Ovis aries: one gene and its partners. The protein of the gene in region 1 purifies or fractionates together with the protein of each later gene. This does not show direct contact. Links are inferred from orthologs where the notes say so. Each region holds a gene or a part of one and is shown in the gene's direction. Other genes may lie near its edges.

Evidence for each region.
Region 2: the proteins of MLF2 (region 1) and DNAJB6 purify together in Homo sapiens (affinity purification with mass spectrometry; 3 studies listed by BioGRID and IntAct, with this or other methods). This does not show direct contact. The link is inferred for Ovis aries from reciprocal best matches to the Homo sapiens genes MLF2 and DNAJB6.
Region 3: the proteins of MLF2 (region 1) and BAG2 purify together in Homo sapiens (affinity purification with mass spectrometry; 4 studies listed by BioGRID and IntAct, with this or other methods). This does not show direct contact. The link is inferred for Ovis aries from reciprocal best matches to the Homo sapiens genes MLF2 and BAG2.

What each region holds. Positions count from the first base shown.
Region 1 is NC_056056.1:209,529,831-209,533,885, forward strand, and holds the start of MLF2 (myeloid leukemia factor 2), read left to right. Parts: upstream 1-1,332; intron 1,333-1,379; coding exon of another isoform or gene 1,380-1,505; intron 1,506-1,849; 5' UTR 1,850-1,877; coding exon 1,878-1,927; intron 1,928-2,179; coding exon 2,180-2,306; intron 2,307-2,554; coding exon 2,555-2,590; intron 2,591-3,194; coding exon 3,195-3,248; intron 3,249-3,570; coding exon 3,571-3,699; intron 3,700-3,833; coding exon 3,834-3,993; intron 3,994-4,055. Other genes in the region: PTMS (parathymosin), read right to left, coding at 862-1,332, 1,380-1,505.
Region 2 is NC_056057.1:120,185,095-120,189,248, forward strand, and holds the start of DNAJB6 (dnaJ homolog subfamily B member 6), read left to right. Parts: upstream 1-1,348; 5' UTR 1,349-1,448; exon of another isoform or gene 1,449-4,154. UniProt on the Homo sapiens protein: Has a stimulatory effect on the ATPase activity of HSP70 in a dose-dependent and time-dependent manner and hence acts as a co-chaperone of HSP70. Plays an indispensable role in the organization of KRT8/KRT18 filaments.
Region 3 is NC_056073.1:3,189,811-3,193,317, reverse strand, and holds the end of BAG2 (BAG family molecular chaperone regulator 2), read left to right. Parts: intron 1-347; coding exon 348-457; intron 458-2,060; coding exon 2,061-2,473; 3' UTR 2,474-3,456; downstream 3,457-3,507. UniProt on the Homo sapiens protein: Co-chaperone for HSP70 and HSC70 chaperone proteins. Acts as a nucleotide-exchange factor (NEF) promoting the release of ADP from the HSP70 and HSC70 proteins thereby triggering client/substrate protein release.

The sequences.
Region 1 (4,055 bases):
AAAGAACCAGGCGAGCTGGCGTCTGGTTGAGTCCGGTCTAAAGTCCAGCCCAGACAGCCCAAATCCCTGGACACCCAGGGGGAGGGCCCTTCTCTCCAGTTGGGCAGGATTTTATGCAACACATTCAGTATGTCAAAGTGTCAGCCTTTGGCCTTCGAGTCAGGTCTCCTGGGCCTGTTTGCAACTCTGCCCCTCGGTGAGCTTGGTGAACGGGGAGCGCTCTTCTCCCTCGACCCACCTACCAACCTGCCTGACTAGAGAAGAAAAACAGTGCGGACTGGGAGCTCCTGAGGATACTCAGAGAAAGGAAAGGGGAGGTTGGCATTCAATGAAAAGATTTCAGAACTCTCTCCCTAGTCTGACTCCTCACAGCAGGGTAACTGGGGGCGGCGGGGTGGTCGCGGGGTGGTCGCGGGGGGGGGGCGGGTGGGCGGGTCTCTAGAGCCCCGCCAACTCCAGTTCCCCAGGGGCTGCAGTTCCAGCCCGGCCGAAGGGCGCCATCTGGCGACCAGACCCCCAGCCTGGATCCTCCGTGCCCCAGCCCGAGTTCTCAAAGCCAGAGGAAGACCTGGGCAGCACTGTCACCTCCTCCCGCTACGTCACTCCGAGGGGACGCCGCCCCGGCCTGGAACGCGCCTCCTCCCGAGGGGACTGGCCCCAGCGCCTCCCCCGCAGAATTGCCGTCCTTCCTCCATCTCGGGATGAACGCTTCCCCGGTAGAAATCTGCTGAAAGTTCTCCCCAGGGATCCGCCCCACCTCGTCACCCACTGAGAGCCTGCCCTGTCCGGGGGAATCTGCCCCCGTCCTCTTCCCCCCTCTTCCCCTCCCGGCGATGGACTCCGCTGCTCCTTCCCCAGCACCCTGACAGGGAGCCTCCTCGGGGCCACAGAACCCAAGTCCAGGTTACTAACGAGGCCTCCACTCCCCAAGTCCCAGAGGACCCCGAGGTCCCCAGCAGCTAGGCCTGAGAGCCGCCCCGCGTGCGCCCCACGCCCGCCGGTGGGCGGAGCTCCGCAGGCCCGGCCTGGGGTGGGCTGTCCCATCGTGACGTCACTTCCGTCCGGGCCTGGCTGGGGTTCGGGCTCCGTGGGCCGACGGGCGGAGGGTGCACGGAGGTGGCAGCTGTGAGAGGAGGCGGTGCGGGAGGCCGAGGAGCTCACGCCCGGACCAGTCCCGCGTCCCGGGCCGCTAGCCCCGATCCTGCCGCGCACGAGAGGCGAGACCGGCCGGATGGGCCGCTGAGCCCGGACCGGGGACCGGTGAGGCTCGAGCGGAGCGGGCAGCCGGTTCCGGGCGGGAGCGGCCCGCCGGGCTGCAGGGTCCCCGGGAGCCTGGGATGCGGGGAGGGGAGCGGGTCAAGCCTGCCTCTCCTGCTCACCCGGCAGGAAAGCAGGGTTCGGGGTGAGGGGGCAAGGCTCCAGGCGCGGCGGGGACGGTGAGGCCCACCCGGGGGAGGTCTGGCGGCGGCCGGGATGTGAGGAGGGAGCGGAGTGGTTGGGGTCATTTATGGGGCGGGGGTGGGGGGTGGCACTTGAGATTCGCATCCGGAAAGGTGGCGTCGGGGGTTGGGGGAGTGTGCCTTTGGCGGTGGCTTTGGGAAGAGGATGGCTCTGAGTGGGGGAGGCAGAAAACAGGCTCGGGAAAATTTTCCACGGTCCTCCTTCGGAGAGAGGGTTGAAGAGCTCTGCTCTCCCTAGAGGCTGATGTTGAACACCTGGAGAAGGGTCTCCCTGGAGTTTGGGGGCCAGTTACAGTGTTTGGAAGGGACCACGCTCTGAGAGTCCCTGCCCTGAGGGGTGTGCAAAAAGCCTGGCCCCTTCCAACCTTTGAGCCTCCACATCTTCACAGCGTGGAGCTCCCTGGAGCTGAAATCAGGATGTTCCGCTTCATGAGGGACGTGGAGCCCGAGGACCCCATGTTCCTGATGTGAGTATCCCCTCCCCCTCTTGCTCCAGAGCACACATCGGTCCACTTAGTCTCTGAGTAGTTGAGACAGACACCTGGGCTCCTGTTGCAGGCTCGGATCACACCTGGGTGGCCACTCTAAGCTCCAGCTTAGACTTGGAGGGGATGTCTGTGCCACTGGTTCCCTATGGCTCTTTTCTTTGGGGCTTGGGGGAGGAGGGAGGTGCTCACCGCTGCCCCTTCTGCCACCTGCTCTGTACTCTCCCTGCACAGGGACCCCTTTGCCATTCACCGTCAGCACATGAACCGGATGTTGTCAGGGGGGTTTGGATATAGCCCCTTCCTCAGCATCACAGATGGCAATCTGCCAGGGACCCGGCCTGCCAGCCGCAGGATGCAGGTAATGGTGCTGCCACAGACCTGAGACTGTGGTGGGAGGGTGGTTAATGCAGTGCTTCATTTTTCTTGCATGCTGGCTGACTTAGCAAGTGGCGTGCCTTCTAGGAGTGGGGAAAAGGGTGTGGAAGACAGGCTTTGCGATGCTCCTTTGAGAGAAGGATGGAAAAAAGCAAGGGAGGCCATGGGCTTGGTTTGGGAGGGTGAGGTCGCATGTGGCCTCTAATTTCTATTCCTGACATGTTCCTGTAGGCTGGGGCTGTCTCCCCTTTTGGAATGCTGGGAATGGTAAGTCTTCATCTCCCTGCATCCTTCCATTTCAAACTTGCTCTGTAACCCTTAGATATTAGTTCCAAATTTGCCTCTCTGAAATATAGACTAATGGGTAACCCTAGAGTCGTCATGTGCTCACAGATCTCCGGGCCTGCTGTGTGCTGAGTCCTGTGAGCTGATGACGCTAACTTACTGACTCCTGTGCTTCTAGGAGTCATCCCCATTAGGGAGATATAATTGCCTGGCAAGATGTCTTCTTTTGAGGAGGGAGGTGCTGTTGGAGGGCCAACTAGAGATGTATAGGAGATTTTTCTACAGCTTCAGAAACAACCACTTTATAGGTTAGACTCCAGTAACACAGACTTGCTTCCTAAAAGTAGGAGGAAATAGGTCAGGCAGGCAAGAAGAAGATGGGATCCTAGTAGCCACAGAGCCTGAGGAGGAGGGCGGGGTGGGTGGGAAGAGAAGCGCAGAGAGGCACACTTGTTCTGCTCCTGCTCAAGAGGAATGAGGAAGAGCCACTGCCAGATGTGAAGGAAGGGGAGAGAGGGACCATGTAGCCAGGTGGCCTGTGGGAGCCTGAATTCGACCACCTGACTCGGTTTCCTTTCTGCTCCAGTCAGGCGGCTTCATGGACATGTTTGGGATGATGAACGACATGATCGGCAACATGGTGAGGGTCTTGTGTCCCGCCTCCCCTGGCGAGTCCCTGGAGGTGGGAGTGGGGAAGGCTGTGCTCACAGAGGCCTGCAGGCTAGATAAGAGGGCCAGACCCGGAGAGCGCAGGGGTCCTGAGTAGGAAGCAGCGGCAGGCATCTCATGAAATGGGCAGTTAAGGCTCGGCCTCTCCAGATCTGCCTGGCTTATTGTTGGACTCAGAGGGATTGAGGGGGTGATGGTGAGTCCTCACGTTTGCTCCGGGGCTGCAGGGAGGGATCCCTGCTCCGGAATCCAGGCCCTGCCCACTCAGCCGTGCAGTTCCCTTCCCTCCCCAGGAGCACATGACAGCCGGAGGCAATTGCCAGACCTTCTCCTCCTCCACTGTCATCTCCTACTCCAACACCGGCGACGGGGCCCCCAAGGTCTACCAAGAGACGTCGGAGATGCGCTCGGCCCCAGGCGGGGTGAGTTGGAGGGCTCCTTCTATCCCAGGGAGGCACGGTCGGGTGGCCTGGCTGGCTCCTTTCAAAGTGTTTCCAGCCTGGCGTAGTTAGGTTTGGAAGGATCCACTGAGCATGTGGCGCTCCGCCTCCCCCAGATCCGGGAGACCCGGCGGACCGTGCGCGACTCCGACAGCGGGCTGGAGCAGATGTCCATTGGGCATCACATCCGGGACCGGGCTCACATCCTCCAGCGCTCCCGAAACCATCGCACGGGGGACCAGGAGGAGCGGCAGGACTATATCAACCTGGACGAGAGTAAGCCCCCTTCTGGCTCCAGCCTGCCGGCTTCCTGCCACCAGCTCCTAGCCCCCCGTCTC
Region 2 (4,154 bases), on another chromosome or scaffold:
GCTTGGTCCTAACTTTCCTTTCAGCTGCACAGCATGTGGGCCTTCAGCTTCTTGACCGGATCAAACCCTCATTCCAGCATTGAAGGCATGGACTCTTAACCGCTGCACCACCAGGGAGGTTCCCATCCTAACTTTCTTGGGATTCCGGAGTACTTCCTGCTATGTTCATCAGGAGGAGTGGGCAGAAAGGAGAGACCTGGTGCCTGCCCAGGACGCGGCCCGAGGCAGAGGAGAGGGGGGGTCCAGGACGGGGCAGGCCGGGGGCCGGGGCAGGGGGATCTGGGCCCTGCTCCAGGAGGTTGGGGCATCTTAAAGAAAGTGCTGGAAGTCTGCCACCTTACCCTTCACCTCGCCCCACTGGCCAGAGCCGGACTGGGATGCTGTCTCCATTCTCAGTTCAGTTCAGTTCAGTCGCTCAGTCGTGTCCGAGTCTTTGCGACCCCATGAACCGCAGCACGCCAGGCCTCCCTGTCCATCACCAACTCCCGGAGTCCACCCAAACCCATGTCCATCGAGTCGGTGATGCCATCCAACCACCTCACCCTCTGTCGTCCCCTTCTCCTCCTGCCCTCAATCTCTCCCAGCATCAGGGTCTTTTCCAGGGAGTAGTATAATTAAAACAACTTTGGGGGGGAAAAAGAATTAATTCCCATCACTCCAAAATCTTCTCTGATCTTAACAGACGTAAGAAGTTACACTTATTTCACTTTGTTGTAATCAGCATGCAGTTCTAAATGGCCAAGAACCTAGACCCTGAGGCTTAATTCTAGGGAACAAAGTGGGGAAAGTGGAGGCAGGGCAGGGCAGTTTCTACCAGATCTCCCTGGAAACAGTCAGCTGCTGACCCAGCGGGACTGAGGCTTCCACCCCGAGCCCGGGGTCCCTAAGGACCAGGAACCGCCCCCCGGCAGGACAGGGGGCCCACCAGCTGGCGGAGGGCCTCGGCTCTCCCGGGGTGGCTGGAGCGCGCCCGTGCCCCACGGGGACGCTGGCCAACAGCCCCTTCCAGAGGCGGCTGCAGCTCTGGGAGGATTGAAACCCCGGCCAGTTGGATCTGGTTCGTCTGCCTCTATCGTTCTGACCCGCAAATCCTGCTAATACCGGGACTGCTTGCCAAGTGATGAGGGGCTGGAAAGACGAGGGGCGTCCGGCTGCTGTAAGGGCGCCAAGAGCCACGTGGGTGCAGATAGAATGGAAGGAATGTGGGCCGCGGCCAGCGGGCGCCCGGCAACCAGAGACCTGGGCGCGGCCGCGGGCTTGCTCGCCGGTCAGGTCAGGTGAGCGAGACTTCCGGCTCCTGATGCCCGGAGGAAGGGGCCTGGAGCCTGCGGCGAGCCGCCCGCCCCCCGGAAACGGAAACGACCCCAGGAGCAGCGGGACTCCGGCGGGCGGACCACGCAGCCGTCGGGCTTCCCGGCTTCGTGAGCGCCTTCACTCTGGATAAAAAGGTGCAGTTCAGACAGACGAGAGCCCGCCTTACTTTCAGCCCTCGCGGGTGGCTGTCCTGAGCTGACCCCCTCATCTGTTGAGCGGTGTGAGGTTTCCTGGGGTCATCCTGGTGACGGCTGTGGGTCTGAGAGCCGGGCGGTGTCTAAGTGAGGGCGGCTGGCGGGCTCCCAGGCCTGCCTTCTTTCTGGAAAACGCAGGCCCGCGTGGATGGCTAACGCCGCTGATGCTCACTGTGAGACGTCGGCAGGCATGCAGACGCGCCCCTGGTGGGGTCCCTTTGCTGGGCCTTTGGGGCCCAGCTCTCAGAGCCCTGGGGGCTCCTGCAACCCCAGCCTGAGAAGCTTCACCTCTAAGCACCTCTGAGCGGCTGGTGGTCTGCCTGCATCCTCTCCTTCCCACCCCGGAGCACAGTAAGGCCTCTCCTTCCCGGAGGGTGACCGCTGGCCGAGCTGGCTGCTGAGGCAATGTCCCGAGTCCATCAGAGGGTGAACGGGACACAGGACAGGAGCGGGCCGGGGACCCGGGCACTGAGGCACGTCTGTGTGGCCCTCCTCTGCCTGCACAGCACAGGGAACTGCTGGGGGGCAGGGTCACAGAAAGGCAGCCCGCCCCTCAGCGCCAGTATTCCCCAGAGGGCCTCAGTCCCCTGAGCCTGACGCCCCCACCCCCATGGCTGGCAGGACTGTGAGCCTGGAGCCTGCACCCAGGGAGCTCGGAGCCTGCCCTCTGGCTACAGAATTGCCCCTGGCCCCCTAGGTTGCTCTTTGGGCCCCGGGCTGGCCGTCAGCATCCTTCCGGCTGGAGCGAGCCCTCTGGGCCAAGGTTTTCCTGGACCACCATCTCCAGCCTCTGGGTGCAGGAAGGTGTCAGTACGCATTCACCCATCTAGTCCATAAACATTTGCGGAGACCTACTCTGTGCTTCAGACCCTGGAAGGCACTGGGGGTTGGGCATGGGGCTGTGGGTGCTGGCTGGAGGGGTAGCCAGTACTGGGAGGGTTAGGGCTACGGTGATTCTGATGGACGTCCCCAGGGAGGAGAGGCCTGGGAGGGTCTACTTCCAAAGGGCCTGATTTCCAGGGCACGGGGCACAGAAGACACAGGTGCTGGGTGCAGCTGCAGAGAGTGGTCCCCTCGAAGCCGGGGGACTCGGGAACGAGAGGGAGCAGGCCTTCTGTCCAGGCTGGGGAACTGACCCGAGGTGACCCCTGCGTGGGCACCGGCCCCGGGACGTCCCTGCTGCCCCACGTCCACTCCACTCCACGCCAGGCCTCCCTCGGACAGGCTGGGAGTCTTCCTCCTCCTCGACGTCAGAACAAAGTGAGACGCTGTGGATGCAGCTGGGGACTCTGTTGGGGAGGAAACTCTTTCCTTGCTCTTCTAGACTCTGGCCAGTCTAACAGTTAAACTGACATAAGACAGAGTAACAGGAAGAAAGCAACTTCCATCCCTGCGGGGGCCCCATAAAAGCTGAACTGACTCTAGGTACATGCACGCTCATGTCTGACTCTTTGCAACCCATGGACTGTGGCCCTCCAGGCTCCTCTGTCCTGGGGAGTCTCCAGGCAAGAATGCTGTGGTGAGCTGCCACACCCTCCTCCCGGGGACCTTCCCGACCCAGGGATCGAACCTCTGACTCTCATTCTTCTTACTCTTCACCCACAGCATTGACAGGTGGGTTCTTCACCACCAGCGCCGCCTGGGAAGGCCAGGGTGACTCTGGCCCCCTTCAGTTGCACGTTAGATCACGTTCTTGCACGAACGTCTCTTTTCTTACGAGTGATGACGTTCGACACGAGGAAGCTTTCCTTATGAGATCATACGTGCTAAGACAGCTGGAGGCAAAATGTCAGGATGTCTGTAACCCGCGTTCAGATGGCTCAGCAAAAACTGGAAAAGGAAGAAAGACTGAGCTGAGGGGCAGCAGCAGTTGGCGAATGGAGGCGAAGACACCTGTTCATTCGACTGCTTTTTCAATTTTCCCGGAGTTCTGAGAAACTAAGAACTCAGAGTAGGGGGGCAGGGTCTGTGTTGAAGGGACAGTCTGTTAGAGCTGGGGGGTCAGGGGGCTGCCCTGGCTCCATCTTGGGCGGGGGGGGGGGGGGTTCCATTTGCTGGTGGCTATGTGCTGGGGAAGCCCTGTCCTGTGACCATAGTTTCCATTTCAACCCCAGACAGCCCTTTCCAGCTTCATCTGGGCTTCAGAACAGTAGGGTGTGTGAGGGAGGCTCAGGATGGGGGGACGCGGGTCCACCTACGGCTGATTCAACAGAAACCAACCAATCCTGCAAAGCAATTATCCTTCAATTAAAACTAAATAATTTTTTTAAGTCAAATATGTTAAGAGATAAAGTAAAAAAGTAGCGGGGGGAAGTGAGGGGAATATGCCAGCTTACTGGGAACCCGGACACGGTCATCCTGCAGGGATGCTGCTGGAGAGGAGAGGCCGTCCACTAGAGAAGCTTTCAAGGGGTGAGCGAGGACCCATGTGGCTTCAGCTACAGAACCGCGCTCCTTCTCTCTGCTTGTCCTTCTCGGAGTGTAGGAAGTGCCGTGACAGGCGGTGAATCTCCGGGACCGGCAGGTTCCCGCTTCCTCCTCTTCTCAGCTGGGTGCGCTGTGCCCGGGCAGTGGGTCTGAGCTCTAAGAGAGGGCGCCAAGCTGCTCTCACTCCTTTGCAGAGCAAGTGGCGGTCCGCTGGAGGAG
Region 3 (3,507 bases), on another chromosome or scaffold:
CAGGGGACAGGAGTCACGGGCGGGTGGTGAGGGGAGCTGGGGGCTGGGTGACAAGGGAACCCGGCGGGTCTCAGTGAAATATGCTGCTGAGTGAAGCAGGGACAGTAAACAAGTACAGGTGTTTATCTACAAATAGAAAAGCACTAAACAGAATCCTTGCCCTGTGAGCAGGGAGGCAACTAGGAGCCACGGGGCAAGTGGATGAAGAAGGAAAAAAGTACAGAATAAGAAAGAAAAAGGACTGAAGCGTTCGGGGCGTGCCCCTGATCATCCTGCCAGCTAAGCTGGAGGGAAAGGCAGAAGCGGCGCACTAGGCTTCTGTGCGCTGACCGTGTCCCCGCCCGCAGGGTGGAGGCTCTGCGGGAGGCGGCCACGGCTGTGGAGCAGGAGAAGGAGGTGCTCCTGGAGATGATCCACAGCATCCAGAACAGCCAGGACATGCGGCAGATCAGTGACGGTGAGCCCGCCGGGGGCGCGGGGGGGGGGGGGGGGCGCGCGCAGAGGACAGGAGCGGGGGGGCGCAGAGGACAGGAGGGGGGCGGGGGGGCGGGGGGGCGCAGAGGACAGGAGGGGGGCGGGGGGGGGCGCAGAGGACAGGAGGGGGGGCGCAGAGGACAGGAGCGGGGGGGGGGCGCAGAGGACAGGAGGGGGGCGGGGGGGCGCAGAGGACAGGAGGGGGGCGGGGGGGGCACAGAGGACAGGAGCGGGGGGGCGCAGAGGACAGGAGCGGGGGGGCGCAGAGGACAGGAGGGGGGGCGCAGAGGACAGGAGGGGGGCGGGGGGGCGCAGAGGACAGGAGGGGGGGCGCAGAGGACAGGAGCGGGGGGGGGGCGCAGAGGACAGGGGCGGGGGGGGGGCGCGGTGAGGCGTGACGGGGGTCAGGCACCCCTGCAGCCCTGGCTGGTGAGCCCAGGCCCGGACCCAAACCGTCACACAGCCTTAGTGGGTCAGCGTAGCCCGCTCCCCGCCCCGGCCAACCAGCAGTGAACTTGGAAAGCGTTTCGCAGAGCTGCACAGTGAGAGGATGACCCAGCACCCTCCTCGTGCTGGCTGAGACTCAGACCACAGGCCGAGTTGGTCGGACAGGATGAGGTCAGCGCCTCGTTTCAGGCCAGCCTTTCTCCTAGGGTCTTGGCTCTGTTTCCTCCACCAGAGCTGGGCACGGTGTGCTCACAGACACGGGATGTGCTGCCCAAAACATGCCTCTGCCCTAAGGATTATCGGGGCTGGTCATTTTTGAGAAACCGCAGGCACAGGAGCAGCTATGGAAATAGCTGAGGTCACAGTTTTGTAAGGGAAATGTACATTTACACTTCCTAAAGGAAACCTCCGCTTCTGAGGGGTCTCCGTGAAAACCTCACCTCTGTGGTCCTCTTTCTGAGGCCCTCGAAACTGGCCTCCCTCCCCATCTCCACCTGAGGATGGAGGCCTGGGCCATCTCCAGGAGTCACTCAGTTTCCCTGGGGGTCTCCCATGTATACATGGGGTCTACACGATAATGAGGCTCTGGTTTTGTTTTTGCTTGTTAGTCTGTCTTATTACAGGGTCTCAGCTAAAAGCTCAGACAGGCAGAAGTTACCATTTCCTCCTCTAGTGCACGTAGTCGTGTAGACGCAGGGCATCATTTCCTGCTCTGACCAGCACACCCGCCCCAGCCTCTGCAGACATGACGACCGCGGCAGTCACCCGACGTCCAGGCTGATCCTCTTCACCACTGACGCTGTTCCGTCGCTCAGTCCTGTCTGACTCCTTGTGACCCGATGGACTGCAGCACGCCAGGCCTCCCTGCCCTTCACCATCTCCCTGAGTGTGCTCAGACTCCTGTCTACCGAGTCAGTGATATCATCCAGCCGTCTCATCCTCTGCCGCCCTCCTCTCTCTCCTCTTGCCCTCAGTCTTCCCTGGCATCCTAAGTTAATCTTATTGCTAACAGTATATACCTTTAAGAAATGTATAGGTGCTCGCAGGCTAGATTTAACCACACACAAATGCCTTAGTGTTCTTGACATGGATGTAGGTGTGTCTCATATTGATTGATATTTCAAACTTTTTATGATTAGGAGAACGAGAAGAATTAAATCTGACTGCGAACCGTCTGATGGGACGAACCCTGACTGTGGAGGTTTCAGTAGAAACAATTAGGAGTCCCCAGCAGCAGGAGTCCCTCAAGCACGCCACGCGGATCATCGATGAGGTGGTCAGCAAGTTTCTGGACGACCTGGGAAACGCCCGGAGTCACCTGATGTCACTGTACAGCGCGTGTTCCTCCGAGGTGCCTGCGGGGCCGGTGGACCAAAAGTTCCAGTCCATTGTGATCGGCTGTGCTCTCGAGGATCAGAAGAAAATTAAGAGACGACTAGAGACTCTGCTTAGGAACATTGAAAACTCTGACAAGGCTATCAAGCTGCTGGAGCATTCTAAAGGGGCTGCTTCCAAAACGCTGCAGCAGAACGCTGAAGCCAGATTCAACTAGTGTTCAGACCTAACAGTCCTATAAACAATCATGTAAAAACGATAAAGAACTATCTTAAATGATAATGGTTGTGTATGTCACATATAGCTCATTTGATACTGATAGTTATTTCTGAAGAACAAAATATCTCAGTGTTGCTAGTTTTGTGAATAACAATTAAAATTAGAAATATTTTGATTACCTTTCTAGAAGTTTTTAGATTGAATTCTTGTCTTGTACTAGGATCTAGCACCTCCTGTATATCTATATTTTACTATTCTGTGGATAACAGCATGTGGGGAAACAAGTGCTTGGCTAGGGGCAGAAGCATTATGGTCCTCTCCTGGACTTTGTCTACAGACACATGGGCACACAGGGCTTTGGGCTGACCAGACAGCCTGTTCATAACGCAGCTACTCAGTGACTGACCGCGCCTCTGCTGAGAACGCGGCAGTGAGCTTGGAGGGATGGGAAGGAACCTTCGGTACACCACATCGCCTTCATTCGGCAGGTTTTTAGTCATCTATATCAAATTATTTTGAACTTAAAGACTTACACAGACCCCGCCCCTGATGTTGCCACTCTGAACAACTACTTCATCCCCTCCATCCGTTTCAAAGTGCATCATTTCTTTAAAGTTTTAATCATTAGAGAAATATGATGTTGTCATTTGCCTTTAAAAAGAAAAATGCTGTTTTAAAGTTTGCTTTTAATTCTCGAAAACCTCTATCCTGTGTAGTTAGACAATTTGCCTCCCATTCCACTCACTGAACGTTTACGTGGTTTCCAGTTTGTTGCTTATCAATGCAACAGATTGATGTACACCAAGCTTTTCCCTTCTTTTGTTTCCTATTTTCTTCATATAAATTCTTAGCAACTGGTTTTACTGAGTCAAAGGGTGTATGCATTTTCATGGCTTGATATGTTTCCAAAGTTTTTTTTGTATGAGAGTTATATCAATTTATATGTCTTCAATAATTAAAAAGTAGCTGTTTCACTGAAAACTTTGCAGCATTTGAGCATTTTTCCTAATACTACATATGAAATACTTTTAT